2 linked regions of the Arabidopsis thaliana genome follow. The protein of the gene in region 1 interacts with the protein of each later gene in a pairwise test. Each region holds a gene or a part of one and is shown on either strand. Other genes may lie near its edges. The genes, in order: BBX19 and AT2G30540.

Region 1 (16,909 bases):
TTTGCCATAGCTCCAGAATCTCTTGCCGCTGTCTCTCAAATTCTCTGTCCATGGAGTCCAGACCAATGTCCCTCCTCATTTTACCAGAATCCTCAGCATTTGAGACCTGATCAAACAAACCTTGAAAATCAATTGTAAGCTACATAGAAGAATCGATTAGTATATATGTTTATGAACTTACCTCGCCTTGACGCTTAGCCATCTCTTTAAGCCCTTCAACGAAAGTCCGGATACTAGTAATACCACCCTCTTCTCCCAACGGCGTTCTGATGCTCTGAGTCCCTGTGGAATCGCTCCCGCAAGAAGACATAGAATCATTCCTCGATACAGTAGAACCGAACTCTAAATCAGGAAACGCAATCTTGTGACTCTCTGGTCTTCCGAGGAAACCTGTCCCTATGTTTTCAGGCGGAGTGCTCGGGCCTGACACAGTCTCTCTGCGGTTCCAACTTCTCACCCTGACGTTCTGGCTTACACTCGTTTCACCATTAGCATCCTCACCACAGCCTAAAACGTTTTCAGGTTCTGCTCTCTTGTCTTTCTTGTTATTATAGACTGTGACTGATTCCTCAGTCTCAATGCATTGAACTTCTCTGCAATATTCTTCTGATAGATCTTCCGAACGCCTAGGCAAGTCTTCATCCAGATCATCATCGTCAGAGTGAGAATGAACATAAGCTCTTGATATTGACAGCGGTGTAGACATTCCATCTGATATAAAACTCCTTCTGTCTGAATCGACCACGCCTGATGTCTCCGATACTGAACCATCCTCCCACTTGTCTGTGTGGTTGCCGAAATGTGGAGTTCCAGGCTTCCATTGAGGAAAAACAGAAGCAAACCTTTTAGTAAAATTGCCATAGAAATCTAAGGCAGAACCGTGATAATTGGGAAAACGTGATGAACAATTCAATTATCTGCTGCACAAAGTGAGATTGTGGGAAGAACCAGCAATACCTTTGACGCCACATTGTGTTCAATCATTCTCATGAAATCTTCAAGCCGGGATTGAGCAAGATCCCTCTGTTTTCTCAACTCTGCGATCTCCTTTTCCATCTGTATAACATTAACTCTTCATCAGCATTAACCCGCCACACAGTTACAAAACCAGCCAATGTCATATGGAAGCAATTTGGGCGTGTTCACAAAGCACAAACCTTTTGTATCTGAAGATCTTTCTTCCTCACCGTCATTGCACAATCACAGTTTGAGGCAGGTGAGGAGGCAGGGTTTCTCAGCTCAGTCTCGAGCCTCGCAAGCTCACGCTGTAGTTGCTTTAGCAGAGCCTTGTCTGACATAACAACATTGATCCGCGCCTTTGTGGTGACTTCCTTTGCACAACACGCAAACAAGAGAGTGTTCTTCGTTAGCTCTACATGACTCCTTGCTGGGCTCAGAGTGCAGATGATAGCTGTTCTTGCATTACCCCCCAAGCATGGCTGTAGAATTCGTGTGAGCTTCGAGTCTCTAAAGTTGATGTGCCCTTGTCTTCCCTTACTAGGTCAAGTGTAGAAAGGCGTGGTTCTATTATTAAAGTTGAACTACTAAGCATGCCAAAGACAGCAATCTTTAAAGGATGTATTGTTTACACACCTAAGTTTACGGATCACTGTTCCAAGAGTCAGCAAACTTCTATTGATATGGCAGCCTTCCTTGAGTCTTGTACCAGCTGACATAGCTTGTGAAGCACGCTCGCTTCCTGCTAGATCGATGAAATTCTGCACATAAAGGGTGATCAACATGAAGACATATTGTTTTTGTTTTTTTTTTTTAAAAAAAAAAAAAAACTCTCAAGATATAACATAAAGAAGGGTTGTTTTAGCTTTGCAGATGAGAGCATACCACACTCGCCATGAGGGTGGTGGAGTTTTCTTTGCCTAAGAACTCACGAGCAGAGCTTTCAACTGTCTAATAAGTAACGAGACAATCAAGGGCCAAGCTAAGTGAGAGAGAATTTGTATCATAAATAAACTGATAGATAAGAATCTAACCAGTCTGATCATTTGATGAGATCTGGAACTTCTCTCATTCAATGAGGTTTCACCTATCTTACGCTGTGCTGCGAAAATGTAGAAGCATGTAAGTTTACTTTTCAGAAAACATGTTCTGGAGAAAATACAGAGTTTCAGATCATGTACACAACAACACTACTTTCATTGGCTACTTCATAGTAATGGAAAGTGATTTTGACTTTTGAGTTTTACCTTCACAAATAGATAGAAGTTCCTTCAGATGGTTCCAGTCTCGCAGAGTTTCCTCTGTGGCTTTTTCAACAACTGTCCCTTTCTAATAAGAAAAAACGATAGAACTAAGGAGAGTCAGACAATTTTACAAACTAAAAAACACTCAGTAAGGAAAATGATATTCATTTACCTCAGGATCGTCTCGTAGCCTCAGTGATGTACCATCCGAGCTAAGCAGATCTCGTATGGCCTCATTGTAGATCTCTATAGCTGAAAACTTCACGGAAAACGCCCTTTCTTCATGCTGCAGCATCCAGATCCAATTAGTAGTGCATAAGAAGAATAAATACCAGCATTAACTTTGGAAAAAAATTACTTATGCAACGAGGCCTGTACCTGAAATATATAGTCAAATATATCAGCCACAGCAAACTCAGTAATACCAGTCATGGTGTATGTCTTTCCACTACTCGTCTGGCCATATGCGAAAATACTACCTGTCCATCGTTACAGTCATAGAAGAACTAAGCATATAGTTTCATCAATGTGTGCATCAGCAAAACAACGGGAAATCAAGCTTACAATTGATTCCTTTGACAACAGACAGAGCGATTTCCTTGGTTCCATCCTCGTAAACTTGTCTGGTGGGACATTCACCTCGGTAGACTTTATCTGTCACCAAAAAAAATCAAACATAAAATGGGAATCTGAGTCAGCATACGGATGAATGGTGAGATCGTTTCAAAAAGAAAGTAGAAATTTAGAAAAGCAAAGGTCAAAGCCAGATAGAGTTAAGTTCATAAAAGAGGTTAACTATTAGTTTGAAGTTCAAGTAAGAGAGTGTGGATCTAATGTATAGAAGAGGTTTAACCGTTAGAGCACTATTGCTCTTCTTACCAAATGAATATGCAGAAGGAAAGTTCGAGCCTTCGCGCAATGTGTTTCTGTACAATATGGTGGTATCATTGATACATTCCCAATCCGCAGCTTCATTAGCGGCAATCTCTTTCTGGTTTAGAGGCCTCAATCTCACGAGAACCAGTATCTTCTCTTCTCGGGCTACAGGCATCTGTGTCTTCTCCATCTTCTTTAGCAAGTGCTACCAATTGCTCACCATTGGTTTGAATATTTCAGAGTAACCAGAGGAACCTTTGTTTTCCTGAAACAGTTCAAACTTAAGACCTCTAAGATTGGAGTCTTAGCATATTTACTGCAGAAAATATATTCAGGACTTGTGAAAGAACTTCAAAAGCAGGAAGGACCCTTATTTTCCAACTAATCACAACCATAAATAAATGGAAAAACTCAGAAATCTGATCTCACCAAACTAAAACTAAGAGACTAAAACATGAAACATGCCTGGAGAAGGAAAAGCTTCTGTGTTGTGATGAAAGAGAACACTTGAACATTTTATATGAACCACAAAGACACAAATAAGAGAAGACTTCTTGTCATTATAATATTAGGATTATACAAGACAGTTTACTTAGAAGGTGATCAACCACAACTGAAGAAGAAGAAGAAGAAGAAAAACAAAACAAAGATTACCGACTTTATCTGTAATGGTCACCCACTATGCTTGAGGACTAAGTCACGTTTTACCAAATCTAAACATTGTTTAATCGAATAAGAGAGGTAATGCATGGTCCCACAGACCATGCTTCTCCTTATAAAATGCATATACATCTAGTGTAGAGAACAAAAAAATAAGTTATCATACTCTAAACTTTGAAAAGTAACTTGGATTATAATATATGTACACGCAAAATCAAACATAAAAATAATAGCTTTGTAGTTTTTGAATTCATCAATGGAGAGGGAGACAAGGTCAGTCACAAATGCGTGTTTAAAGGTTAAAAAAAGTAACTTGGAGTTTACTTAGTCAAAACTCAATGAAACCTTATCAATTGCACCAACAGAACATTTAATCATTATCACAAAATGCATCTCAATCTTGAACCAGAATACTAAGATTTTGCGTCTATAAAGTGCGTGTCTTGTCTACATCTCTAACAAGCAAGATAAAGAAACATGCAAAGGAGCTGTTTTTACCTTGTGAGTGAGTTGTCTTCTTCTTCCTCCTCTAAAGGGAATAATGCGGTTCCAGAAAGAATCCTCTTGTGTCTCACTCTTCGCACTCCGAAGCTCTAAACTGCAAGCAAACATCCACTACAGAATTCAGCAATGACAACACAGATTCGAAATTTTGCAATTGTTTTGTACTTCTCCATTAGTGACTTTATCAATGAATGACACAAACCCAAACAACAAAACCAGATTTTGAAAAAGTAACTATTATCTTTTGGGGCACATGAAAAAGGAAAGTAGTCAGAAGTAGTAATCCAAGATGTCACGGTTGAGAGAAACAACAATGTGAAGTTTTCTTCTGAAAGGGAACCCTAAAGAGTGCCGGAATTGGAAACACAACAGTGCTCACCGGAAAACCAAAAGAAAACAAAACGGAAAGATTTGTAAAAGAAAAAGAGAGAGAAATGACAATGTTAATCCCACCCACTTCCTCCTGCTACTGCCTACAAGTTTGGTAGTTGTTTGTTCTTCGTCGTAGTCGTCGTCGTCTTCTTCTTCTTAACTTTTGTCTGAAGGGACCACTCCATTGATTTGGTCCCAAAGATTCTCTCTTTTCTTCTATTCGCCGGTTTCTCAGACTCTCTCTCTCTCGGCTTGGGTAGTTAATGACCGGTTTACCCCTGAAACTTAATTAGGAACCTTAAACCCGCCACGTGGACCTCACACTCCACTTCATCGTAGCCCATTAGTGAGAGACCTTTTCTCCCGGCCCAGAAGGTCATAATGATATTTTGATAACAAATATAATGGATATCTAGCCCAACATTACAAGTAAAGCCCAACATTTAGCAATGATGCACATGGCAGGCAAACTCTCTTCTTTGGATGCTCTGTTTTTTATAAAAACCATAATCTATATTTTCAACAGAAGAGAACATTGTAATTATGCAAATATTGATTCTCGTGTTTATGAATAGGGTGCGTCAAAACTTTTCTTTCAAATTTTACAAATGCCAAAGTGTCATAAAACAAGCTACAAAAGAATGTTTATGGAGGAGAGAAAGAATAAACTTTGGGATGAAAAGAAAAAAAAACTAAGATAATTGTGAAGATGTTAGTTAAATGAAATTGAGAAGATGGGCAAGGAAATAAAAACAACATTAAACCAAGGCCACTAGTAGAGTTTTGAGAGTTGCTTTCAACTACTTCTCGACCACCAATTTTTTAAATGGCTGGTGACATTTGGCCCACCCACCTCTTTGTCTTTTTTTTTAATTCCTTTTGTGGCTCTTATTTTTTCCCCCTTTTTTATTTATTTTAGTTTATATTTTTACTTTTAAAAATAGTCACACGTCCTAAATCTTAGCACATTATGTTGCCTAAAACTATTTCAGCTGCCGTCAAAAAAAGGAAGAAAAAAAATCAGATATAGGATCCAAGAAATCATATAAAGATTGTGACAAAAAAAACTTTTTCACCAAAACAAAGGAAACAAGACAACGAATGTGTTTCAGGGAGACACATCAATGACCTCCCAGATGGCATTGAGTCTTTCGTCTTCACTTTTTAGTCGATATCATTTTTCTTTTTGTCTGATAATGGTCTCTGATATAATGGACTTTAAACAATCTTATAACTCAAAACCATATCCACTATAAAAGATTTGGTCTTCCCAATATTTTCTCCTAAATCATACTACACACATTTCTTGTTAGGTACTACTTTAATCATAATTTTCGTTAGTCAAAACACACAATTAAAGAAAAAAAGTAATTGATTGGAGAAATTTACTCAAAGTAGTAATTAACAGATTTTGCCTTGTCACAGCAAAGTATGCTTATTTGATACTCTCGGCGCGTGGATTTGGTCGTCGTCTCTTCTGGTCTCTCAAGCTTCTCCTCCATCGTAGAAAAAGATTTTAAAGGAGCGATTTTTATAATCTTAAATAATTTCTTCCCTTTCTTCTTCTTCTTCTAGTTCCTTGATACCAACGCGTAATCCTAACCCTTAATCTACTTCCTCCTTAATTAATCAGAGGTTTCTACTTATTATTTCCACTTCTCATCTCTTTCAATCGCAATCTGAGTTCTGGCTAAAGATTTTGTCTTGAAGGTGAGATTCATTGTTCCGAATAGAGTGAGAAAAAGACTTATAAGATTGAAAAAGCAAGATGCGGATTTTGTGCGATGCTTGCGAGAACGCAGCCGCAATCATCTTTTGCGCCGCCGATGAAGCTGCCCTTTGTCGCCCCTGCGATGAAAAAGTAACTTCTCTCCCAAAAAAGCTTCCTTTTTTTCTTTAACTCTCCTCTCTATCTATTGGTTGTGCTCTGATGGGTTCGTCAAAGATCAAGTCTTTGTTATCTCTGTCTGGGAATTCTCAGTTGATTTGGACCTGAGTTGATCTGGCTTTTCGATAACTTTGAGCTAAAGAAATAAGATTTTTGAGATTTGGTTTCTAGATTCTTAGGCTCTTCACATGAGATTAGATATTTCGAAGTGTAGTGAATCCGTCAAAAGAGTTCAAATAGTTGAAACCTCTTCTCTCATTTGGTGGATTAAGATGGTTCAGTTGATGAATTTACATGTTTGATTACATGAGTGTTTGTTGCTGCGGTTTCAATGATTCTACTCTGTCATGTACATTGCAGGGAACGTTTTGTCTCCAGAGTTTGCATTTAGTAGTATTAACTTCTGGAGAAGAAAATAATCGATTTTCTGCTCTTTGCGCTTAATCCTTACTTCAGTTAGATGACTCTTAAGGGTAACACTTTATAGTCCTTCTCGAGTCATTGGTTCATCCTTCTCTACTGCAATAGCTCTTAGTAGTTTTCGGATTTTGATCGGAAATGGATTACTTCAAAGCTTTGTAATGTTTTCTTCTTTCAGGTTCATATGTGCAACAAGCTAGCTAGTCGGCATGTACGTGTTGGTTTAGCTGAACCAAGCAATGCCCCATGCTGTGATATATGCGAAAATGCACCTGGTATGATCTCTTTACAATGAACTTCCCACACTCGTGTTTAATGTTTTCGCATATGTACATATATTGAAAAATGAAGAGAAATCTTTTGTCTGCAATGTTTTTTGTTGTGAGAACAGCCTTCTTTTACTGTGAGATAGACGGTAGTTCTCTTTGTCTGCAATGTGACATGGTAGTACATGTTGGTGGCAAGAGAACACACGGTCGGTTTCTTTTGCTGAGACAGAGAATCGAGGTTTGAATTAACTAATTGTTTCTTTCTCACGCAGACACACAATCATTTTGAGTCGATTTCTTAGTTTTAATAGTCATCTTGTGTTTATCGTTTCTTGTAGTTTCCAGGGGATAAGCCTAAAGAAAACAATACGAGGGACAATTTGCAGAACCAAAGAGTCTCTACAAATGGAAATGGTGAAGCCAATGGGAAGATTGATGACGAAATGATTGATCTAAATGCTAATCCACAAAGAGTACATGAGCCATCATCAAATAACAACGTATATGAATCCCTCTATCCAACATATTCTCAATCTTTGTTTTTGTATTCTCAATTCGAATGTTTCTCAATGAGCAGGGGATTGATGTAAATAACGAGAACAATCACGAGCCTGCAGGCCTTGTACCAGTTGGACCCTTTAAACGAGAGTCTGAGAAGTGATAAGGTGAGAGAGAGAGAGAGAAAGAGACTCTTTACTCTGATTCAAAAAATCAGTTTAAGAAGAAGATTGTAAAAAGTTTCAAGAACTGGAGATTTCATGTCCGTTTTTTTTCCTTCCTTCTGATTCTTAGATCGTTGCTGGTGTAACCGAGCTTTGTTGTTGAAGAGGGAAGGTTTATGTTGTTTGTGCATTATCTTAGTTTTAAGGAATTAGCTTAAGTGCTCACATGAATGTAAGCTAATCTCTGAAATTCTAAATAATTTTATTTGTTTCTGTTTTTTTTTCTTAATAAAATCCTCTGGGAAATGGACGAAAAAGAAAGAAGACGAAAAATTGGGCCAATTAAAAGATTAAGCCCACTTAATATGCAAAGGCCCCATGAGGCTAAGCGTTGTCCTTTGAGAATTGTAAGCTTCGTGGAGACCATTTCCTCCTGTATCCTCTTTGTTCAAAATTTAAAATTGGTTGATTATGGAATAGTTGTAGTTTCAAGTTTAAATAGATCAAGAGAGATAGATAACTTCAATATAATAGAACTTATTAAAAGGAGTAGCTAACGCAAAGTAAGCAGAGAAAATAATGATTTGACATGATTAATAACAAGCAAACTCAAAAACAAATGTGATTAAAACATCTGCTTCATCTCTTTTTTCACAGCATCATCTCTTCAATAGGTGTACCCTTTGACGAACATGCCCTCCTTAGCCTCTTCGGACTCACCCTCACCGGTGTATTTTCCGAGCTGAGCCAACGAATTGGCCTTGGCACGGGCCAAGAGAGTGGTCTGAGCTGCGTTCACGTTCTCGGGTCTGCCGCCCCATGTTTTCAGACAAGTGTTCTGCAACGCACGTGCGTAGGAGAAGGACACGTGCCATGGGTTTGGTGCCTGGTTCATTGCGTTCAAGTTGAGTGTTGCCTCCACCTCCGACTGTCCTCCGGACAAAAACTGCAAATAACAAAAAAAACAAGAAACAATGTTACTTCTACCTCAAGCAACCAATATTAGGCTTTGCCTCATAAAACACCTTTTCGTTGTATTGAATCGAACAATCTTTTAATTGTGAAGAGAATGAGAGAAACTTGCCATGATTCCGGGGACTGCGGGAGGGACTCTGTTGCGGAGGAGCTTGAGGGTGTAGGCGGCAACTTGTTCAGGAGTAGCTCTGTCTTTAGACTCAGCTCCGGGAGTCACCATGCTCGGTTTTAGGAGGATACCTGTGGGTAAAAGTTTCCTTAGTGATTTTTCAGACATTATAAGTTGTATTAAGAGAAGCACTTTATAACGAATATACCTTCAAACATGACATTGTTCTGAGCAAGGTAAAAGAAAACCTCAGCCCAAACCTTCTCTGCTACGTCGTATGTTCTGTCAATGTCGTGTTCTCCATCCAACAAGATCTCTGGCTCAACAATCGGAACCAAACCGCTGTCCTGGAAAATAAAGTCGTGTGTGAATAGCTTGATACACTCCGATTTGACATGTTTCTTGGGATACACGCTATGTTTGTTACCTGTGAAATGGCAGCGTATCGAGCAAGACCCCAAGCAGCTTCTTTGACGGCGAGGGCAGACGGACCGTTAGGAATGCTCACGACAGTACGCCTAATCAACCATCAGAGACAATAAATCACTATGAAATCGAACCTAGGCATATTTTTTGGTAGTAGGAAATGAAATGAGAACCGAGAGTACTAGTCTGTACCATTTGGCGAAACGCGCACCCTGTTGATAGTAAGCAGCAGTTCGAGATGATAGACCATCTAGTCCTTGGCACCATGACTCATTGTTGGATCCAACAAGTGGCACCAAACCCTAATATTCCATACACATAACTCATTAAGATTCCTCAAATTAAGCACCATGCATGTTGGTATATATACTCTACAGTCTATGCGTTTAGTTACCTTGTCGACTTTGATACCAGGGACAATGTTCTGCTCGACGAGGACGTCGACCATTTTCTTGCCTTCGGTGGTAGACTGGTACAGAGTCTCCTCAAATAGAATTGCGCCGGAGACGTACTGTCCGAGTCCCGGTGCAGAGACCAGCAAAGTCCGGAAAGCTTGACGATTTGCCTCAGTGTTCTCTAGCCCTATCGAATCCAAACGTTTCCCGCAAGTCGCGTTTGACTCGTCCATCGCCAAGATTCCACGTCCGGGAGACGCAATAGTTTTCTACTCCACCAAAATTAAGAGAATCAAATGGAATTGCATTATAAATCAATCATATAGTATTACCAAAATCTAGATCAAAAGTTCAAAACTGAAACAAAACATCTGAAGGGTAAATTCGGTTTAAATAGATTCTGAAAAAAAAAAGTAGAAACAGGGCAAAACAGAACAACAGAATCTAGACATTCCCATTCAAAAGGCACTTTACGAATCATGCAGATAAAACACGTGGTAGAGAAGAGAGGATATGTGTGAAGAAACTAACCGCTGTCTTAACAAGCTCATCGGCGTAGGAGGAAGCGGCACGGACGGTGAGGGAGGTGGCACGGTTGCGGAGGACGACAGAAGCGGAAGAAGGCTGACGGAAGAGAACGCTTTGTCCCTTGACCCATTCGGATTTGTCCAACACCGGAGAAGCCTTGAGGAGTGAGGTTGATGCCATTTTTTTTTGTGTGTGTTATCTCTTTTCTCTGCCTTTGGTTTCTTTGAGAGACTCACAGTAAACGCTTATGACACCACCCTTATCTCTCACTCCTCCCTCTTTTGGATTTATATTTCTCTTCAGATCAGTTATTTGAGGTTCTTGTGACCTTGCCAATAATATTCCGCCACCTGGACCGTAATCTTGTATTACTCTCAATTCAAGAAATATACATACACTCCAATTTTTATCTTTTTTTTTTTCTCCGAATAGGAAATCGATACTCTTTTTATGCCCGTCGTTACATAATAATCGTTTGCCTTTACACGGATAAAAATCGAATAAAATCGAATAAGTACAGAAATAGTTAAGATTCGTTCAAGATACTGTTTCTTTAAGAAAAAACAAATTATAACGTTAGGCTACAATATTAAAAGCATATTAGCATGTAGAAAAGATGTATAAAACCATCAAGAGTTAATATGTAGCACCGTGGACCATAATATTAATTAGTTTATAAGTTTTTTTCTTGAATTGCAAACGTCTTGTATATCACTAATTTACTATACATATTGTCATAATGTTGAACTCCAGGACAGAAAACATAAGACAAACGCATCATTTTCAATTAAAAATAGTGGCAACAGGCTTATAAAGATACAAAGATGGTGTTTTGATAAGAGAAAGAAAAATTATGAGGTTCGTATCATTTCTAATTTTTAATTTTTAAGAGCTGCCGAGATTATTGATCAGATTAGCTAATGTCTAAATTTGACGGTAGAGAGTTTACCACGTCAACTACACAAGAGGACCTTTGGATCCGGAAAGAGGTTTCGTTAGTCTGGGTCTCAAGTTTCTCAACCATAGACTTATATGCTAATCCAGTGAACCCATGATTATGAAAACCTATTAAAATTTTCCTTTTTAGAATTTAGAGCCAAAGATGCGTCTGAAAGTTACACTCAAAGAGAAAGATTTTGTGAGGACGTAGTTCCCTGCGTTTTCTTAAGGCTGAGGTTAAGTACTGGGATTTTTAAGAGATTGTGAAGTCTACATCATCAGTCGAGAGACACTGCAATCTCATCGTCATCATTGCACAACAGGTGGCCAAGTGGATGTGTAGGCACCAAATTGACCCAGTAAACCTTTCGGTCTGGTCTAGTAGCAGATTTTGAAATCTCAAACCCGGTTTGTGTCGGTTAAGGAGTAGTAAAGCAAAAGAGAGTTTGTGATGTCAAAATAAAACACATACACATAGTTCACTTAAAAGTTTCTGCAAGAGACAGATCCGATATTCCAGATATCAGATCATCGATATTGCTCTTCTCTGATACAACTTGATCATCATTCAGTGGCTGTGGAAGGGGCTGGACAGTGGAAGACTCATCGAGGGCCTTCTTCAGCTGCAGCACCAACCCATCTTCCTCATCATTGTCCCCCACAACCTCTAGATCCCACACTTTGAAAATCTCTTGTGAAGTTACTTTGACAGGATCCTCTGTAACATTACAATCCTCAGCATTGTCTTCAACGTATGTGCTCATGAAATCATCCTTGAATACTTGAGACGATACTGACGCTGGTTTTTCTTCTTTAGCCTCTCCATTGCTCACTGACCCATCTTCTTCTATACTTTCAACACCTCCAAGATCTGTCTTAGAACCGTCCGCTGGTTCACGGTTTCCATTCTCTGCTATAGACTCTGGAAAATAATAATCTTCTAAGCAATTCTTTGACGGGTCTGATTCAAAAGTTAGCATAGAGATAATCTCGCTAACTTCTTCATTCGATGAATTAGTTCTACTGTTCGCTGAACCAGCTGCTGGTTCAGATCTCCGTAGATCAATAGTCTCGGATTCAGTCATAACCTCGTCTGGAGACAGGACACCTCTTGTTCCCGTTGTTGATGAAAAAACAAACATCTCGGGATGGATATCGATGATTTCTGTTAAAGCATCTCTAAAAGTTCCCCAATTATTGTTGTCTGAATCATCTAGAAAACTGATGATGCAAGAATCAGCCCAAGCTACACATTCAGGAGAAAGATCTTCCTCGTTTCTCACTGAAAGAGAAACCTCTGCTGCGTCTTCTCGTTCAGCCATGGCTACAACAAAGCAGAGATTTGAAGTTATGATAGATGTTAGAGAACTCAGGGATAACATATACAAGACATCCCGGGATGGATAAAAATACCAGATTGATACTAAATACACTAATTTCAATCACTAATTATAACAAAACTAGGGTTACATGGATGTGAATTGGATTTAGAAGCATCAACAACAAAAGTGAAATACCTTCGAATGCACAAGAATCACAGAATAAACATATATAACGAATCGAATCAAAGAGTATAAACGTCAAATACGTAAGCAGGAAAACGAAAATTCTTCTGAGCACACCTAAATCCATGACTAAGTCCAATGGATTACTGGGTACTTCAATTCAATTAACCAATTAAGGAAATGACTAACCTTTATCCACACGAGAATCCCCCAAAAAACCCTAATTTTCAGAAGAAGAAGAAAAACTAATTTTGAAATCTCTGAGAAACTGAAGAGTAAACGACGTTAAATTGTTTGGAATTTTGGATAAACTTGTACGATGCCGTTTTTGTGGTGACTTGTTTTTTGTTTTGTTTTGTTATTAATAGCCCAAATATTTTTAGATTTACAGAAAAGCCTCATACTTTTTATTGGCCCAATGTGATCCCAAATTGTGTGACAGTAGACATTAATGTATTTGTCCTTCTGCATTTTATTTCATCAACACACAGTCAAAATTCAACATATGGTTGGTCTTAAAGAAAGCTTAAACATCGACAAAAGTTGCATTATACCCCAATTTGTTTAAAATAAAAAGAGTCTTATTATATATCCGTTAATACTTTTTTTAGTTTTTCTTTCATTATATGAATCAAGTGATACAAAAATACTCACTTTTAGATTCTGTTCGTTTTGCACAAAAAAAAAAAGATTCTGTTCGTTGTTTAATACAACTTACTTTCTTCTGTCAAATCTTAAAAGGCAGAATCGTCTCAAACCGGGTTGGCCTTAAAATAAGCCAAGAGACCAACAAAAGGTGCATTGATGTAGGTCGTCGGCTCAGTCTCACTTGCATTTGTCCGACCTCCAACGAATTTGTCATCTATGTTTGGTCCTCCGATCACTGCACCTACTAAAACGTTGGGGTCTGGATTTGGTGACGAGAAACTGTTCCATCCTTCTGAGCATTTGACCGGGGTAGGATGAGTAGTGATAGACGGTGAGGATGCACCGCGGTGATGGATTTGTCGTGGATATCGGTTACCGTACCCGATCATGTATGACATTTTCATCGGATTATCTCCCAAAATGTAATCCACCTATATGAAATCATTATTACCATATAACCGATCAAGTTAGTTAAGTAGTAGACCACTAATTTGTAAAATGATAACTCATGAACTTTCTCAAAACCAACTATATTTGCTATGCGTTGTGTTAAATACCTGTCGTTTGGCCAAGCGACGGAGAGAATCCGGCTGGAACTTGAGACTACCACAGTGGAGTTGTTGAGAGGATTTGGAGAGGTTGTTGAGAGGATTTGGAGAGGTAATTGGCGTAAGTGAGAAGGAGAAAAGACAATGCGACGGTGTTTTGGAGCTGGCTGCTTCCGGGTTTGTAAAGAAGACCACCGGGAGAGTAACTCATATGTGCACCAGGAGTTTCCAGAAAAAACGAACACATCAATTTTTCCGCTGTATCCTTATACGGTGCAATCGCAGCAACATTCTTCTCAAATACTTCCTATATCAACAACAAGCAGCTCAAACGGTTTAGAATTAAACGAGTTTGTTCTCGACCGGTATACCAGAATATATACATTTTTCTATTTAAGAAGAATAATATATGCATGGTCAAGTTATACTACTTGTATGTTCAGTATAAAATGAGTTACGATCATGAGTTTTATTGTATTATGAATATAATTTCGTCATTTTAAAAATCAAAGAGAATTGGATCAAACCTTGGCAACGAGGACATTGACGCCCCCAACTTTGTTATCCCATCCAAACTCGAAGTAATTGGAATCTGACCCAAAAGATTGACGATTCTCCACTAAGTATTTAATGTAAGAATCTTTACCGGTCGCTCTTCTCAGCCATGCAGCTCCCCATAATAATTCATCCTATATGAAACAACATGATTATTTATATGGAACTAAAAACATTAATCTAGACCGATATCTAATTTTACATAAGATATTCAAGAAATCATAGAGAGATTACCTCATATCCGTTTACACTACAATAAAATGGGCAGACAGCTAGTTTAGTCTCAGGATTATTGGTGTAAGAACCTCGATGTGAATCTGCGTACTCAAAAGTTCTTAAAGCATTATCGAGCAATAGTTTAGAATATCTAGGATCAAATCGTTTGAATGCGATTGAGGCGGCTGCCAACGCAGCTGCGATTTCTCCAGCTAAATCAGAGGCTGGTTTCGGTGCTTCCAGTGCGTAAGCGGTCCGTGGTGTGTCCATGTCCTCTGGTCTCTCCCAACACTGATGATCCGGTGTTGGTTCACCTACCTAAATATCATTATTTAAGATTATAAATCAAATTCTCAATATATATGCATCAGTTTAACTCTTATGAATATTATAGCCTCGTTAAATAAATTAGTTAATTACTAACAAGTAAAAACAAACAAAAAATAAGTAACAATATTGAGATGAAAAAAAAAAACAAGATAATAATTGTTTGTGATATGAACAAATACATTACGAATCTAAGATCTGAAGTAAAATTTGTGAGAACTAGATGTATGTGTAAAAGACACACAAATACAATCGTTGTTAACTATCCTAAGCTATACATACATGTATAATAAAAGACAAGAGCTTATTGACGTATAGTCACCGTACTTGGACGAAGATGCGATTAGGGAGTTGGGAAACGGTCTTGAGGAGATAATTGCTGCCCCACCGGAGAGCGACGAGATTGTCCCGGAGATCAGCCGGAGACATGTAACTTCCGAAGTCGATAGCGCTCCACGCAAGCATCGTAGTCGTAAAAGCCATCGGAAAATGGAATTTAATGTTGTCTCCGGCGTCGTAGTAACCACCAACGAGGTCGACATTGAGGTTCTTGCCATCGTTGAGTGCGGAGTTGTGGCGCCACGTCATCCTCTGTTCTCTTGGGAGATATCCAGATCGTTGACCTTCGAAGAAGAGGATTGACTTTGTGAGAGCATCGGAGTAGTCGTGAGAAATCGTCGTTGGTAGGAGGATGAGGAGGATAACTATAAACGAGCAAACCAATGGCTTCATTGTTTTCTCTTTTAGGGTTTATGAGAGATGACTAAATAAGACGATGCATATATATAAACTTTTATTCGATTTTTTTCTATGGAAACTTTCCCGCATGTTTTAACTCCTTGTATATTTTTATATCTAAACTTTCCTCACCATGATTTATCACAATCAAGAACTTTTTGTTCTCTGTTAAATCGTTTTTTTTGTCCTAGTTTAAATGGATATATTGGCGAGTTTTTCTTTTCCAAATTTGATCTATAGATAAAGAGGATATGTAAACTTGGCAAAAAAAAAAACGAATGAAAGCGATAAAAATATTATCGAGTCTTATAAAACATCATCTAAATTACCACAAATAAAACCATATCTGCAATAAATAATTTTCTGTTTGAATATAAATACATATTATTTTATTTTTTAAAAATACATATTATAATTATAATATGTATTCTTTTAATTTTTATTAATTATATAAATACTTTAAGACATAAAGATAAACAACGGTAAAACAAAAGAAATTTGTATCATGAAAACGTAAATTGCATAAGAATAAATCATTATAAAAATTTTTTATCTACCTTGCCATTGTTTATACGGTATAAATTATACCTAAAAAAAATAAGTAAGTACCATTAAGAATATTACTAAAAGGTTTAAAGATGTGTTTTCCTTTACTTGAAGAATTTCCCATACATAAATATATATCTCTTGATGCGTACTTTTACCTCAATCAATATATGTACATTTTCATTTATTTATTTTTACAAATCTGGGAAAGAAATTGAAATCAAGAGAAGTTGGGGTTGCTTTTGAAGTACGCAAAGACACCAACAAAAGGTGCATTGATGTAGGTTGTGGGCTCAGTCTCACTAGCATTTGTCCGACCTCCAATAAATCTATCATCTACGTCAGGCCCGCCAATCACCGCACCTATAAGAATGTTGGGGTTTGGATTGGGTGATGAGAAAATATTCCATCCTGCTATGCACCCAAAGGCAGCCGGATGAACGGTAACAGACGGTATAGACGAGCCACGGTGGTGGATCAGTCCCGGGTACCGCTCGCCGTACCCAATCATGTATGACAACTTCATTGGATTATCTCCCAAAACGTAGTCTACCTACAAAAAATAAAACACAAATATTTTTTTCTTAGACTAACGAACACAA
Region 2 (15,636 bases), on another chromosome or scaffold:
GAAGGGAGGAGTGAGATGTTCAATGGAGACAAAGCAAGGAAACGTCTCAGTCATGGGGGCTGGAGTTTCAGCTGCAGCAACAGCTGCTTTGACGGCGGTGATGAGCAATCCCGCGATGGCTTTGGTTGATGAGAGGATGTCAACAGAAGGAACAGGATTACCCTTTGGTCTAAGCAACAACCTCTTGGGTTGGATTCTGTTTGGAGTCTTTGGTTTGATCTGGACTTTCTTCTTCGTCTACACTTCATCTCTCGAGGAGGATGAAGAATCTGGTCTTTCACTCTGAAGGAAGAATCAATCTTTCGTCTTCTCATTTCCATTTTCATGTGAGAACATGAATCAAAAGTGTTCACCCTTCTAGTTTCTTGTAATTGTTAAGTAAAGACTAAAAACTATTTTCATGTGTGTTTACTTTCCCCCATTCTCTTTATCTTGTCATAACATTGATAAGGAGGAGATTATGTGATTATTAAATATCATGCATGACATGTTCATCAAAACCAAACAATTGAAATGGATGTATTCAAAAGCCCATCCATAATGGTCAGTGAGAACCAAATTGATAAATTAATCTTACATTTACATTTCAATCACTGATTATTACACAAGTTTTAGAGTCTCTTGATGAATACACATATAGTTAACATGGGGTAAGACAATAAAGCAAATTATCATTTATTCATTCATTACATAATATATTTGGTAGTAAACCATCTTCACTCCATTCTCCATAGATGATCAATAAAGACCAAACTCACTTTTTACCATGGAGATTATCAAAGTAACCTTTAGTATCACTCTCAAACTTATCTCTTGAAATGGTAGAAGATCCGTTGCTCCCCGGCGCTACCATGTAGCCACCTCCTCCACTACCGCCACCACTCTTCCCTCCTTTCCCTCCTCCTCCTCCTCCACAACCACCACCATTTTTCCCTCCTCCACCACCACCACCACTTTTCCCTCCACCACAACCACTTTTCCCTCCTGCTCCACCGCCGCTTATTCCTCCTCCTCCACCACCACCTTTCCCTCCTCCACCGCTACCACCTTTTCCTTCCATTCTTTGAAATCTTAGAAGTTCTTAGTGACTCTTTAAGAAAACTTAAGTTTTGTTTAAAAGTGAGAGGTGAGAGGACGGATATTTATAATAGAGTAAATTTTCAAGTAGATGGTTGATGAGGTCAATAAGGTCGAAGAGGCGGGAAGACCTGCTCGTTTCACGAATTAGTCATATTATTTTATGCAATTTCGTTTATTTAATTGTTGTTGAATGTTAGGGAAGCTTTATCAAGTTCTGCAGTTGTTTATTTGGAGTGGCCAGAGTTCTTTCTAACCGAACAAAAAAAAACAATTACAGAAAAAACTAACTTAGTCATGAAACTTTTTTTTGTTATGTATTGTTTCCTCCTACTATGTATTTCTATTTAATGAAAACTCTTTAACAAAATAAACATTGATGAGGTCGAAGTAGCGGGAAGACATGTTCGTTTCAATAAACCAAACCTTAACCTCCAATTAGAATTGACTATGTCTCACCGTGGCCAAAACATTGACTCATGTAATCATGTGTGAACACGAATCAGTAGTGGTACGAATCTAGTTTCTTGTAATTTGAAAGTAAAGATTAATACTATTTAATTCCAGTGTGGTATCCCAATTATCTTTATCTTGTCATGACAATGAGATGATGTGATTATTAAATATCATGACATGTTCATCAAAACTAAACAAATGAAATGGATTAACTTGAGAGCCCAAAAATGCCAGTGAGAACCAAATTGCTACTAAATAAGTCGTACCAACTTAATGTTCAAATCACTGAATTGTACACTTCTTGCATGATATAGACCCATATTGGAACTCTTTTATAGTACCATATATTCAAAAGAGAGTAAGACGAGGTATAGCAAAATCTCATTTTATTTATTCATTAGATACTAGATTTGGTAATAATAACCATCTCCATGGCATAGCTATTCATTACAGATCAAATTCACTTCACTTGTTACCCTGTCCACTACCATGCAAATTATCAAAGTAACCTTTAGGATCACTCTCAAAGTTATCTCTTGAAATGTAAGAAGATCTATTGCTCCCTGGTGCTACCATGTAGCCACCTCCGCCCCCACCACCACCGCTTTTCCCTCCTCCACCGCAACCACCTTTCGCTCCTCCACCGCCGCCGCCGCCTCTTCCTCCTCCACTGCCACCACCACCACCACCTTTTCCTCCTCCACCGCTACCGCTACCGCCTTTTCCTCCCATTCTTTGAAATAGTAGTTCTTAGTTTCACTCTTTAGAAATTTTTAAGATTTTGTGTGAATGAGAAACGAAAGTGAAAAGGATGGGGTATATATAATAGGTGAAAATTTCAAATGCAAGATCAAAACCAATCTTTCCCAATGAAAATACTTAATTTAGTCGTTGCATTTGATTAACCCAAGTAACCAACCCAATCGCCTCGTAAACGTAATAAGTTTTATTAATAGGGAACGTACGTTGACCAAAGCATGCAAGTGAGATGATTGTGACATTTTATTTTCAAAAGATGGATGCGTCATTTACAAATTAGGGAAAATGTGTATATTATATATATGTGCGTGTGATTAACAAGGATGATCAAGACGGAGCTGAGAGAGATGGTGGTGGATATCAGGAGAATGATGATCCTCAAAACGGAGACGCTCGGCTTGAATCCAACGACCTTCACTGTTCCGAACCATTCCTTTATTCGCGTCTTGACGCCAAAACGGTGGAATTTGTAAATGCTCTTTCAAAAAGTCCGACGCTTTGTTCACTAGCGCATGGTCTCTCCCACTCGACAGCACAAATCTCTCTCCTTTTCCATGATACCTAAAAATTTCAAAAAAATATAAAGCAACGTCAATAGTGTTTGATTAGTTGCATCATATGACTAAATCGACATTAATTTCACGTGTTATTCGGTTCAATCATATCGCAAAAACAAATTAGACGTGATCTCACTAGTTTGATCTTCTTGAATATTTTAATGTGGTCGAAGAAATCATTTGGACACCTAGTCCAATCTATTTATCCCACGGCTTCAAAATTTTGTCGTTTTCCAGTTCCACATAAAAATAACATATCAATAAGACTTTGATTTGGGTCATCTTATACCATCCCTGTCCTGTTTTTTTTTTTTTCTCCCATCATCCCAATAAATATGTAATTAAGTATATACTATTCCTTTTGTATAAATGGTTGTATATACTATTGTTTTTGGCTAATCATATTTTTTTTTTTCCAACTATGCAAAATTTTCCAATGTTATAAATTTTTGTGATCTTCAATCACGGCAACACCAATTTTTTTTTATGAACATGAATATATAAACAATGAAAAGTAAAATAAAAAGGAAACGTACCCGTCAAGTAAATGAAGCATAGCTTCAAGATTATGAGCAGTAGAAACATCAACGGAAGGTTTAAGAAACGGCGAGTTCTGATGATCCAACGCCAGCTCCTCCCCCACGTGGCTATAACACCACGGCAACCCCTCCGCTATCTTCATCAGCGCGTGAGGTCTACTCTCGTTCAAAAACAATCCCGGCGACTTGGGAACCACGTCGTGAACATTCACTACTCTCATCACTTTCACTCCCAATTCCTCCATCCTCTCCCTAAACCTAACGTTCCCAACTCTCGGTCCTCCGTATGTCAACACCGTCACCGGAATCACTTTCCCTTTCTTACTCCGATTCAATCTCATCTCCGCTATATCGTACGCGCTTAATATCGCTAACGCGCCGCCGAGACTGTGTCCCGTCACGGTGATGCTTAAATCGGAATCATCGTCGTCGCCGTGTTCTTCCACTAACCGTTTCACCTCCGTTAAAATCTGTTCACGCGCTGAGAATCTCGCGAATTTGCAGGTTGTGTCTTTGTCAGTGTAGAGATCTAAGAATCCGGATTCGACTTTAACGGCCGGGTCGGGGCATCGGATCTTGTTTTCGGTTACCGGTTTTAAATAATCCTTTAGATCCGCGATCCATTCAAGTTTCGTAACGGTTCCTCTCCACGCAATCGCGATATCACGGCGGCCGAGTCGGTTACGAGACGTTTCGTCGTCTGAAACGGCGACGTATCCCATCCAATTAGCGTTTTTGCTCCAGACTTTAGACCACCGCGATTTCGAGAAGAAGTTCGGGAGATTGATGTTCGACGTCGCGTAGAGGTAACGCGCCACCTCGTAACCGGAATCGATCATTCCGAGAGAATCGAAGAACTCGAGTCGCGTGAACCTGGAGGTGCCGCAGTATTTGGAAGCGGGATCGAAATCGAAAGCGTCGTAACAAGCTTGAGCCATTTCGCCGTAACGGATTAGCTCCGATCTAAGAATTGGATCCATTGGATCCATTAACCCGGCCCAATCGTCTTCTCCTTGGATCTTACGCCACGTGTCTCTTAGTCTTCTTTCTTCTTCGGTTTTTTTATCTCGCCGGCGAATATCTTCCGCCGTCATCCATAGTTCTCCAGCTCCTTCCGCTTCCTCGATTAATAAACCTTGTCTTTCCCGCCTTTCTCGCTCGAGGCGAGAAATCACGGCGGATAAAGACGACTCGTCGGTTCTGGACAAAGCTCTCGTAGCTACTCGGAATTTGGCGGGAAAATTGATTTCTGAGAAATTGGTATTTAGGGAAGAAGAACCGGTTATGGAGTTTTTGTGGTTGATGGTAAGAAGGTTGTTGTGGGAAGGAATAGCCGCCATTGTTGAGAAGCTTCAAAAGCTTGATTTCGTAATTGGTTGACGAAGAAGCCTTTATAACACATAAAAATAGCTTAACGTGTACTTCAAGACACAAATGGTAATAAGGTAATAAATAAATTGTCATCGATTTCATACACACTTGATAGTATTTATTTTATTTGATAAGTTATAAATTATATTTATTTAGTTTTGAGTGTGTTTGGTAGTGATTGCACAATGCTTAAAGGCAATAAGCAGGCTCTAGGGATTGAGGTTAAGGATCTAATGATCTATCACGGTGATAAAAAAAAAGTAGTAGTATACACTAATTTAAGATTTTGCTTTTCAACATTAATGTACATTTTATTTTAAAATTGTAAGATCTACAAAAGTTTATAATGAAATTGTTTTTTGAGTTATGAGTCTAGATCTAAAGCAAAAACTAAGTCGTCTTTTATGTTTCTGTTTTAGTTAAGAGGATTTTTGTTTTTCATATTGAGTTAATTAGTAAAAATATCATAACATTGCTTAATTTTCACTTCAAATAACAAAGCGACGACTTTTACATTGTTATAGTATATTAAGTTTCAGAAAACTATTTATAAGATTAACTCTTATATCACCGGTAAGTGACAAGAGAATTGAATTACTCAACTTGCCGTCAAAAGGAAAAAAGAATGACTCAACTCATATAATATAAGAGTATGCTTTGGCCTTCGTGTGGAAAAGTCATGGACCAATGGCATCATGGCAACACATAACATCAGTTTTCAAGTAATATTTTCGTATACTATATTACAAATGTACAATATATATATCAAAAGTCTAATGTGAATTTGCTGTCAAAGAATACGAACTCTAATGTGAATCCATATCTAGATGCTTCTTAATAATTGAATTATAAGATTGTTGAAATATTAAAGACGTTTTTAATGGTCTTTATAAATGACCTAAAACTGCATATGAATAATTGACCCCCGACCATATATTTACAACAAAACGACAGCTCAATCTCGTCACATTATGTAATGAGAATGAGGTGTCCTTCTCTCGTCACTAGCTTACTTACTTTATGTTTCATCATTAAATATTTGGACATGTGATTTAATGAATTAATTAGTTATAAAATATAATAGAGAAAAAAATAGCGTTGGAGAACATTCAAGTCAACTTGTATTTGTTTGGTGGTTTCATCTGAAAATCCAAAATAACTCAATTTGTATTTCATTTATTTAATTGTGATATCTTACTAATTTTTGCAATCTGGTACAGATCAGAATGAATGGATCCATACTGTTTAAAATATATATATATAGATGTTTTTAGTAAGAATGATTGAATGTTATATATATAGAATCGAGTTCACGCTTTTGTGGAGATTTTCTATGGTGACATCCTAACTCACACGTATTTTATATTCTTTTCTGATTCGAAGAAGTTTTCTATGCCATTAAATATAGTTCCAAAATCAACCCATTTGCTTTTGTTAGAAATAATTTTTGCGTTATGACTTATTAAACATATATGAGATTTCTATAAGTCATTGGTATGTCACTTAGCTAGGAGGTTGCACGTTCAATTTTCTTCTCAGTTTGGTCATAGTCGTCGAGACAATGCATACCCGGCCCATTTCTTTAGACCATATCCGAAAATGAACCCTCTAAATATTCAAATTCTTGTATATTCTTAAAGCTAAACAACTCACTTCTGAAAACTGCTTAAAAGATTATTAGCTTTTGAAACATAAATATATAAATTTATCGGAGAGAAAGAGTAACTATGAATCTATGATCATGCATGGCTTATAAGGGAGTTTGTAGTAGCCATTATCGCCAGCCTGCCATTATCTTTTATGGCCACTTCTTCAAGGTTTCATCGTGTGAGTGACCATATAACCTCACTTAGCTACTAACCCTTTTTCAATCATTAATTATAATCCCTAGAAAGCTTTTTACCAAACCAAAACAAATATTTCTATATAGGGCAAGTCTCCGATCTTACGGGAAGCACTTTTTGGTGGTAATGGAAGAGGGGGTTAACATAGATATTCAGATGGTCATATATATAATTAATATAAGAATCAAGAAGATCAATTCCAAATATATGCTGAGTTTGTAACTATGTTAAGTTTCATGGATTTCTAACTCTAATCCTTATCTTTCGAGGTGATGATTGTCTTGGTCCAACTCAAATTGTTCTCATTCTATGAAGGACAACATATCTTACTTGGACCAAATAAGTTCCTTAATCTTTAAACAAAATCAATTGGCGTTAGTAAATTAATTCATGTCCTATACATATTACTCTAGGTCTAAGCTTACTTCAACTGACATGGGATCTCATAATCACTGGTTTACTTTAGTCAAGTGGTAAATGGGAAAGAATCTTGGCAAATTGTTGAAAGGGAAGTGGCACACAAGAGAAAGTAAGAAACCGATAGGAGTTATTATTCCTTCATGATCAGAAGTGAGATTGAGAGAATCTCACAAAGACAATCATATCTTGTTGTATAGTGACATGTTTCAAGAATAGGGTTTTTAATTGTTGACACACACACGATCCAATCCATCAAACCCAGCCTGATCTCTTTTTCGTGGCTGCGAAAAATACCGTCAATCAAGAGAAGAATAAGCATATCTCTCTGCTTATTCCCCACCACTTTGGGCTATCTCACACCCACACCCTTCATCTGAGCATGATTCTTGAACAAAATAATATTCTTCGAGAGAAAAAGTAAAAGCTTGGTCCACATAAATTGTAAGATTCTAATCCGATCATGCATAAAAAAGTTGCAAATACATATATAAAACATGTGCGGATGTACCATATTCTTTAGCATCTGCAACAAAGAAACATATTGTCCTGTTCAACTCAAAATGCTCACTTTGGTATCTAGGAGGAAAAAAGGGTAGGTGAATTGTGATTATGCAACTTTTGTTGGTCCTTCCTTACTAATATAATATGAATTAAAGAGGAAAACAAAATATTAACAAAGTCACTTTAATGTACTTGGGGAACCTTTAGCTAGATCTCCTGTGATCTCTCTTTTTTTGGTCTCTAACATTCTTTTCTTCTTTCTTTCTTTGCTTATAAATAGCATATGGTTCAAGAAACTCAAGTCTCAGGCAACACTGAGCTTAATACTGTAGTACACACACACACACACACACACACACACACAAAACCCTCTTTTCTTCAAACAGGAACCCCAAAAGCGAGGTTTAATCTCAGGCGTTTTCAGTTCTAAATCTCTTTCAATCCACAAGAGAAGGAAGATTTTGTTTCTTCTTCTCCAAGAAACAATCCCTAGATTGATCGAGACCTCCTTCAAGAAACCATGGACAAAGTTGTGAGAATGTCGTCAGAGAAAGGAGTGGTTATTTTCAGCAAGAGCTCGTGTTGCATGTCCTATGCGGTCCAAGTACTTTTCCAAGACCTTGGGGTTCACCCAACAGTCCATGAGATCGATAAAGACCCTGAATGTCGTGAGATCGAGAAAGCCCTAATGAGGTTAGGGTGTTCCACGCCGGTCCCAGCCATCTTTGTGGGTGGGAAGCTCATTGGTTCGACCAATGAAGTCATGTCGCTTCACTTAAGCGGCTCGCTGGTTCCGCTAGTTAAGCCGTTTCAAGCCAATCTATGTTAAAAAGGTGTTCTAATTTTCTATACTACAAAAATGTATTTCAATAAGAAACACAAATCTTATAGCCTATGCAACCTTTGTAATGTAGCTTTATATATATATTGTTTGTTCTGTAATTTCAGGTAATATCCAATAATAATTGACTAATTTCTACTCACCAGTTCAACTTTTAGCTTTCATGGTACTGTTTCAGGGAAATAATAGAACATTCTTCTTTTATTTAAGTTAATTAAGGGTAATAAATAACATTCACTGCTAATTCTTAAGACCCCACCCCAAATAAAGAGTACAGAGTATATATATTTCTACAAATACAGAGCAATTACAGGCAACGATTTGTCTTCTTGTCTGATTCACAACAAGAACAGCAGAAACTGATAGTTGTTGTGGTGTTTCATTTGAGCTCCAAGAAACTTGGATTTGGATTGTAAGAGTTATCTGATGAAGAAGACATTGAAGACACATTAATGGGATATACCTCCGTTACTTCTTCAGTCTTCTCATCAAAGTAGACCACATCTTGCATTGTTAGCTGGTGATATTCGACGACTCCTCTCAGATAGAGGTTTTCGCGGGTGTATATCGAGTTTTCATGAGCCAACCGTGCTTTCTCAGCTAACAGTGTTTCCAGTTGAAGTCGCACCTATAGATGAGAGAAAACACACAACCAAAGATCAGAAATGTACATAAAGAAATGTTAACATTAATGGCTTTGTAAAGAGTAAAATACCAGATCATCGTCATCTGTCTGACTGTCGCCACTACGGTTCTCCCTCAGAACCTTATTTTCTTCTTCCAGCTGTGCGCATCGTTGCTTCGCAAAAGCCAGATCAGACTTTACCATCTTCAGCTCCCGAAGTAAAAGCTTTGCCTTGGCAGCCATGGCCATTGCAACCTGTTGAGATTAATTCAAAGGAGGCTCAGTATCAATACTAAAAACGATTATTCTATAATCATTCACTGAAGAGATAACAGCAGCGGAAATAAGCAGATATAAATTTGCTGCTGTGAACCAATAAATGATACAGAGCAGCCACCTTACGTCGCGAGATGCCTTTAGTTGAATCTCCAAATCAGCTTGTATCTCAGGATTCTGCTGGTTCCTTGTAAGACTTGGCTTTTTTTTAATCTTTTTACGGGTTTCTTGAATGATGCCTGCAGTACGATTCTCCACAGCTGTAATACCCTCCTAAGAATAATCACAGACAAACAACAATCTCAACCCAACAAACTCTCATTTAGTACAGTGCAGAAGATGCACCGATACACACAAGAATGCATATGCCTCTGTATACACAACTAATGTGAGAACTCGCATAACCTAAAGAAAAAAACAAAACTAATATATGTCTCCTATAGTGTGCCATATACGGGTGCATAAAGAGTAAGAAACTAACCTCAACAACAGTACCAATGGTGCCACCAATGTAATTCAACGATGAAGTGATCGCATCTAATCTTCTCTGTAATGAAGGATTCTCGCTTTTCCTACCAGTCTGACCAGCTTCCTGAAACATGGAAATGGATTTCTACTCCATAAGAACGCAACCCCACAAAACAATTGGAAGAGCAAATGCAACTATAAAAACCTAGTCTTTAACCTTAGTTCCTGAAGTTGTCGCAGAAGGTATGCTCTGCTCCATTCTCTTAGGACTTTGAGGCAACTGATTAGGATCATCCTCATCCAAAAAAGCCTTAGCTTTACTAGCTAAACTTCCCCAAAAGCCTCGTTTTGGTTCATTCAAACTCTTCATAGAAGTATACTCATAAGCCTTATTCACCTCCTATTCAAACGATTCAATTGAGGCAAAAACAGAGTAAACCCATGAATCATTTGGAACATTTCAATTGAAGCAAAAACAGAGTAAACCCATGAATCATTATGAACAATTAAGCGACACCAGAAAGAGAGAAGAACAAAAGATGAAACCTTGGGAGGAGTGGGAACAGGAGCAGAAGAAGGAGACGAGTAAGCAGAAGAAAGAGAAGAGTCTCTATGCGCAGAAGATGCTCGAATTGCCTTGGCAGCGAGAGAGGACGCAGCAGATGATGAAGCCGAAGATGGAGACGGAGACGACGAAGATGAATAAGACATTCTCGTCGTCGGCGTCATCATCCTTTCCTTATCTTTCTCCGTCTCCATTTCGAGATCCTCGAATCTGAAATCCTCGATTTCGTCGACTTTGTTCATCAACTTCTGACGCTCATGCTCAATCACAGTCTCCAAATTTGGTGGGTCGATTTAGGGTTTTCCCAAAAGAGAATCCTTTTGGAATTGAATGGATCTCTCTCTGTTTCGCAAATGATGCCAAATTTTCAATTTTGGTGTCGTCAACGCTAGACAGGTGCTATCTCAAGATTCCGGTTATTGATTGAATCCTTGGTTTTCTACAAATGTGTTAAACCGGGTTTCTCCTACTATGAGATTTCATTATACCATTCAAACATGACCTCATAAAGATCTACATTCTAGTAGGGGATGTGGGCTATGTGGTGGTGGAATATTCCGGTTTGCTTGATAGATTTGGGTTTTGTTATGATCTACATTCTCACTAGTTAGTAGGGGATGTGGGCTATGGCCTATGGTGGTGGAAGAATATTCCTGTTTGATTGATAGGTTTGGTTTTGATATTTTGTAGACTTGGCGGTTTGGTTCGGTTTGTAGACCAGACGGTTTGGTCATGTTGTCTGGCATACAAATTAATGGTTTAGCTGTCAAATACAAAAAACATGATTTTATCCACAATGAATCTAGTAACAATCTACAACAACAACAAAAAGAATCTAGTACTAAAATTGGGGTCAAAATCTATTGTTAAAACTTAATCCTCTTATTTGAAACTTCATCTTATCTTAATCCTCTTATTGCTCTTTTAGTTGAAACAACTCTCCCACTTTTGGAATTTATAAATAAATTTTGCAAGCTTCACATGGAGTATAGTGTGATAACCATATAAAGTCACATGCGGCTAGACTTGAGAGTCGACACATATGTTTATGTGCAATGTATTGGTTGGGCTTCTTAATTATGAAACAAATGGGCTTTGCAATAACAAGTTAAGTTTCTCGATCAAGCTAAGCAATATCTCAGCTCGTGTGTTGATTGTTTCTTTTCTTGGTCAATTCCATCAAGCTATATTTCTTCTAGTCACGGTTTCGTACCGTTGCCTCTATCCGAATCCATGCAACCTCCCCAACCATATATAACAGATAAGAGATTTGCACAAATGACAGCGAAATGTGCTAAACTCGTCTGGCGTTTCCTAAGAAGACGACATTATTGTGTGAATTGGAAGAAGCGTGATTAGGGAAACTTGACGTGGACTTTTTGGGCTATTGACAAATAATAACCAACTTTGGCCCAAACTGTTCGTATTAATTTGTGGTTCATTTTGTTTTCTAGTTGCATCTTTTCTTAGCCTTTGTCCCCTCGGTTTAGCCGCTGTGAGGTCGGGACCGTTGTTAATTATTGTAACACCGCATAATTACATAATAATATAAACTCGCAAAATAAAAAAAAACCTATGAGCAACTATATACATTTATTTGCAATATGAGTTTTTAGTAAAAAAAATTACTTATATATATTAGGTAAAAAATTTTGAGTTTTTTTTGCATTTTACTAAATGTATATCATGGATATGATCTGACTAGAATTAGCTCCAATGCCTTTTTTGAATTCAGGTGTGTAGAAATTGCATATCCTTAATCAGAAAATAGCATTTTGGTTCTACTTACCGAATCAAACCAAAATAAACCACAATCCTATATGTCAATCCTCTGGATGTAATTAACCATTATGATCGAAATTGTTGATTGAAACTAGACGGCAATACAGCTCAGGGTATTTGTACTTTTGTTAATAGATTGATAGCACCATCCTCTTATGGTCCAACCTATTTCCTAACATGAATTTTTCATCTGAATAATTTAGACTTGTATTAAGACCTTGCCTTAGCACCTTTTTACAAAATTTAATTATTATTCTCTCTGAATTAATGAAATTTATATGTATATCGCCTACTCATGATCTAGTGGACATCTACTGTTTAGCTAATTCAATATTTTACATTCGGATATTGTGTTTTGATGCAAAACCAATTACAAAAAAGAAATCTAGGGTTTGGAAGTTTTTGCATTAAGATTTAAACAAAAAGTTAAACACCTCACAAAATTTATCACGATACTAAAATAATTTTCTTATCAAATCACATGTTACTATGTCAGCCGGAGAAAAAAGACTCACATGACATATTATCACATCGATTCACAGAAACTTACATCAAAATAGAAAAATCACGAAAACTGGTAAGGGTTTTTAACTTTTTATGAAGACCCATTTTGTGAATCTTCACATTCAAACTACAAATAGTCTTATAAAACTAGTCGCACCGGCAGAAAATTATTAGGGCAACTAGGCAATGTAAGAGACGTGAGATATCTTTAAAGACGATAGGAACACGTGTATAAACATGATTGGAAGACAAAACTGAAACTGGATTCTGATGGATGATTTGACGACGTAGCTAAGCCAAACACCACGAGGTTCTAAGATGAAGCACGACCACATATTTGGGGTGGGCCTTATCTATGACATGTTCCTACTTCCCTAACTTCCATGGTCCTACTTCTCTCTAATCGTACATCCACTTTTAATTTCGTTTCTTATCTGTCAATTATTCACATGCGTTGCTTTTTTTTCTATATTCATAGCATTGTCTTCCTTTAATTCAGAATTTTTAGGCTTTTAGCATGTGAAACTTTAATTTTGCTATCATATTCTCATTAACCAAACCAAAAAGTAAGATTGTTTTTTTCTTTTTGAATGAGCCACTCTACAAATTGTTGCCAACAACCAAATATATGAATGATGATTGGTTCTCACTAATCATTATACTTTATAAAATTTTCTAATCATCACCATATGCATGTTATGAAATCAAGAATTTAGATCCGTTCTGTACTTCTGGTCTGTCACACACTCACACTTTGTCCCGGCTTCTATGTCCTTGTACGATGAGATTGCTTACACATAGCAGCTTTATGATAAGAAAGATTTTCATGTTCGTCATATTACTATAATCATTGTTATCCTGCATGTTTTTTGTAGTCTTTTAACCTTGAATATCACTGTAACATTTACTAAAATAATAGTTGATAATTTGAATGTAGTTAGCCAAATATCAATTAGTAAACGTTCACTTTTCTTTTAATTTTAATTTTAATGATAAATAAATACATTTACTAAATAAAAGCGTAGTAAAGCATGTTACTTACAGAGATATGTTTATTAATGTTATCTACAAATCACCAAGATCGAGATCTCTGTTAGTCTATTATCAAAAAGTTGGTGAAACATATATCGGTATATATGTGGAAGGTCTAAATTACATAAAATAGCCGTCGATACAAGTACATATCCAAATAGGGAAAAGTTAAAAGGAAATGGTGAAAAGGAAAGTAAACGACGAAGACAAACACAAGGATTAGAGTGAGTTAACTAAAAGAGATAATAAACACATCAGAAAACGACAAATAAAAACTTAGAAAAATAAGATAGAAGAAGCCAATCACAAATATTATTACATTAGCAATTGGGTGGATTGGGGGGACCCATGCTAAAGAAATTTCAATATATAGACACTCTCCAATTATGCTTCCATCTCCTTCAATAGAGAACCAAAAAAAATGGCAACAGAAGGAAAAAACCCCATCAACATGAACTCTATGTCTTCAAGTCTTGCAAGAACCGGTCAATGGTACGAATCAGTCTAGTTTCACCAATAGAGTCTCCCGGCGCGAATCATCAGAAATTTTAACATGTATATATGTAACTTTGTAGGGTTTTTTCTCAAGATATTCCGACCGATGTTGTTGTTGAAGTCGGAGAAGCCAATTTCTCTCTTCATAAGGTAAGCAACAACTCTTAATTCTTGGTTCACAACATTTTTCAATACAAAAAAGGATTATTTATTTTTCATATACTCATGAACTAGGCTTGAATAGAGTAATAATAGGATGGCGAGATTAGTACAAACCATTAGCTTACATGTTTTTAATTACACAAAATTTTAACTATAATTTTTCATGATTGTATATATATAGTTCATGTTAGTGGCTAAGAGTAACTACATAAGGAAGCTAATAATGGAATCCAAAGATAGCGACGTGACAAGAATCAATCTCTCGGATATACCCGGAGGTCCTGAGATATTTGAGAAAGCTGCCAAGTTCTGTTACGGTGTTAACTTCGAGATCACCGTTCAGAACGTGGCGGCTCTTCATTGCGCAGCCGAGTTTCTTCAGATGACCGATAAGTACTGCGACAACAACCTTGCTGGTCGGACACAAGACTTCCTTTCTCAAGTAGCTCTCTCTAGCCTCTCTGGAGCTATCGTTGTCCTCAAGTCTTGCGAGATTCTCCTTCCTATTTCTCGTGATCTTGGTATTGTCCGCCGTTGTGTCGACGTCGTCGGTGCTAAGGTATTATTTTACTCAGAACTCATTCTCACTTCTTTGTAAGTGTTGGATCTCCATTTTGGCTAGTGTTTATGTTTTTCTTTTCTACCTATGTAGTAGTAACTGCAATAACCCAATCTAGTAAGTTAGTACAGTTTTAGGTATGTTTTTCAATAAATGGCAAGAATATCTGGTTTAGTTATTCCATAGGTTTCAAATACAGTAATAGTTTGAAATTGATTTTAAAATTTCATCTATCAATTTTCCTAAGAAAAATCAGTTTGAGACCATTGTTCTTCACTTCTTTTGTTCTAGTGTTTATTATTAAAAACAAAAATCTATTTTAATATTAAAGTTTAGATCTATGATTACTGTTGTCAGACTATGATTGCGATTTAGATTCGATAGGAATATTTCATATTTAATTCGGTTTGGTTTCCGAATCTTAAATTGAGCAAATCATACTTCTACCCTATTCCAGTTCCGTGAGACTCAAGTATAATATCTATGTAATGCAAAATGAATTACGAGTTTAATATTTTAACATCCATGAATTTTTGTAATGCTTGGTTACAGTATCTGATACGTTTTTTATATCTATTTCTTTTGATATTTGAAAGGCTTGCAACGAGGCAATGTTTCCATGTCGAACACCACCAAATTGGTGGACAGAGGAACTCTGTATCTTAGACGTCGACTTCTTCTCCGATGTCGTATCTTCAATGAAGCAGAGAGGTGTCAAACCTTCTTCCTTAGCCTCTGCAATCATCACCTACACAGAGAAATCCTTAAGAGATCTCGTCAGAGACCATTCAGGCAGAGGAGTC

Evidence for each region.
Region 2: the proteins of BBX19 (region 1) and AT2G30540 interact in a two-hybrid assay, tested with the Arabidopsis thaliana proteins (one large-scale study listed by BioGRID).

Annotation. Positions count from the first base shown.
Region 1 is NC_003075.7:18,155,195-18,172,103, forward strand, and holds BBX19 (B-box type zinc finger family protein), read left to right. Parts: upstream 1-5,893; 5' UTR 5,894-6,381; coding exon 6,382-6,474; intron 6,475-6,680; coding exon 6,681-6,776; intron 6,777-6,861; coding exon 6,862-6,894; exon of another isoform or gene 6,895-6,974; intron 6,975-7,099; coding exon 7,100-7,196; intron 7,197-7,312; coding exon 7,313-7,428; intron 7,429-7,528; coding exon 7,529-7,690; coding exon of another isoform or gene 7,691-7,767; coding exon 7,768-7,851; 3' UTR 7,852-8,127; downstream 8,128-16,909. Other genes in the region: AT4G38950 (ATP binding microtubule motor family protein), read right to left, coding at 1-106, 182-814, 958-1,056, 1,158-1,497, 1,594-1,718, 1,843-1,908, 1,992-2,059, 2,205-2,286 and 4 more; FBA2 (fructose-bisphosphate aldolase 2), read right to left, coding at 8,520-8,798, 8,937-9,067, 9,145-9,283, 9,364-9,454, 9,555-9,664, 9,757-10,026, 10,289-10,465; AT4G38980 (uncharacterized protein), read right to left, coding at 11,704-12,546; GH9B16 (glycosyl hydrolase 9B16), read right to left, coding at 13,482-13,808, 13,892-13,934, 13,985-14,232, 14,453-14,614, 14,715-15,014, 15,351-15,755; GH9B17 (glycosyl hydrolase 9B17), read right to left, coding at 16,528-16,860.
Region 2 is NC_003071.7:13,003,976-13,019,611, reverse strand, and holds AT2G30540 (Thioredoxin superfamily protein), read left to right. Parts: upstream 1-7,568; 5' UTR 7,569-8,044; coding exon 8,045-8,353; 3' UTR 8,354-8,507; downstream 8,508-15,636. Other genes in the region: PSBW (photosystem II reaction center W), read left to right, coding at 1-286; AT2G30560 (glycine-rich protein), read right to left, coding at 755-1,047, 2,043-2,265; AT2G30550 (alpha/beta-Hydrolases superfamily protein), read right to left, coding at 2,607-2,853, 3,386-4,728; AT2G30530 (zinc finger CCCH domain protein), read right to left, coding at 8,745-8,993, 9,081-9,245, 9,393-9,539, 9,748-9,858, 9,952-10,134, 10,281-10,541; RPT2 (Phototropic-responsive NPH3 family protein), read left to right, coding at 14,039-14,109, 14,193-14,262, 14,456-14,833, 15,430-15,636. UniProt on the Arabidopsis thaliana protein: May only reduce GSH-thiol disulfides, but not protein disulfides.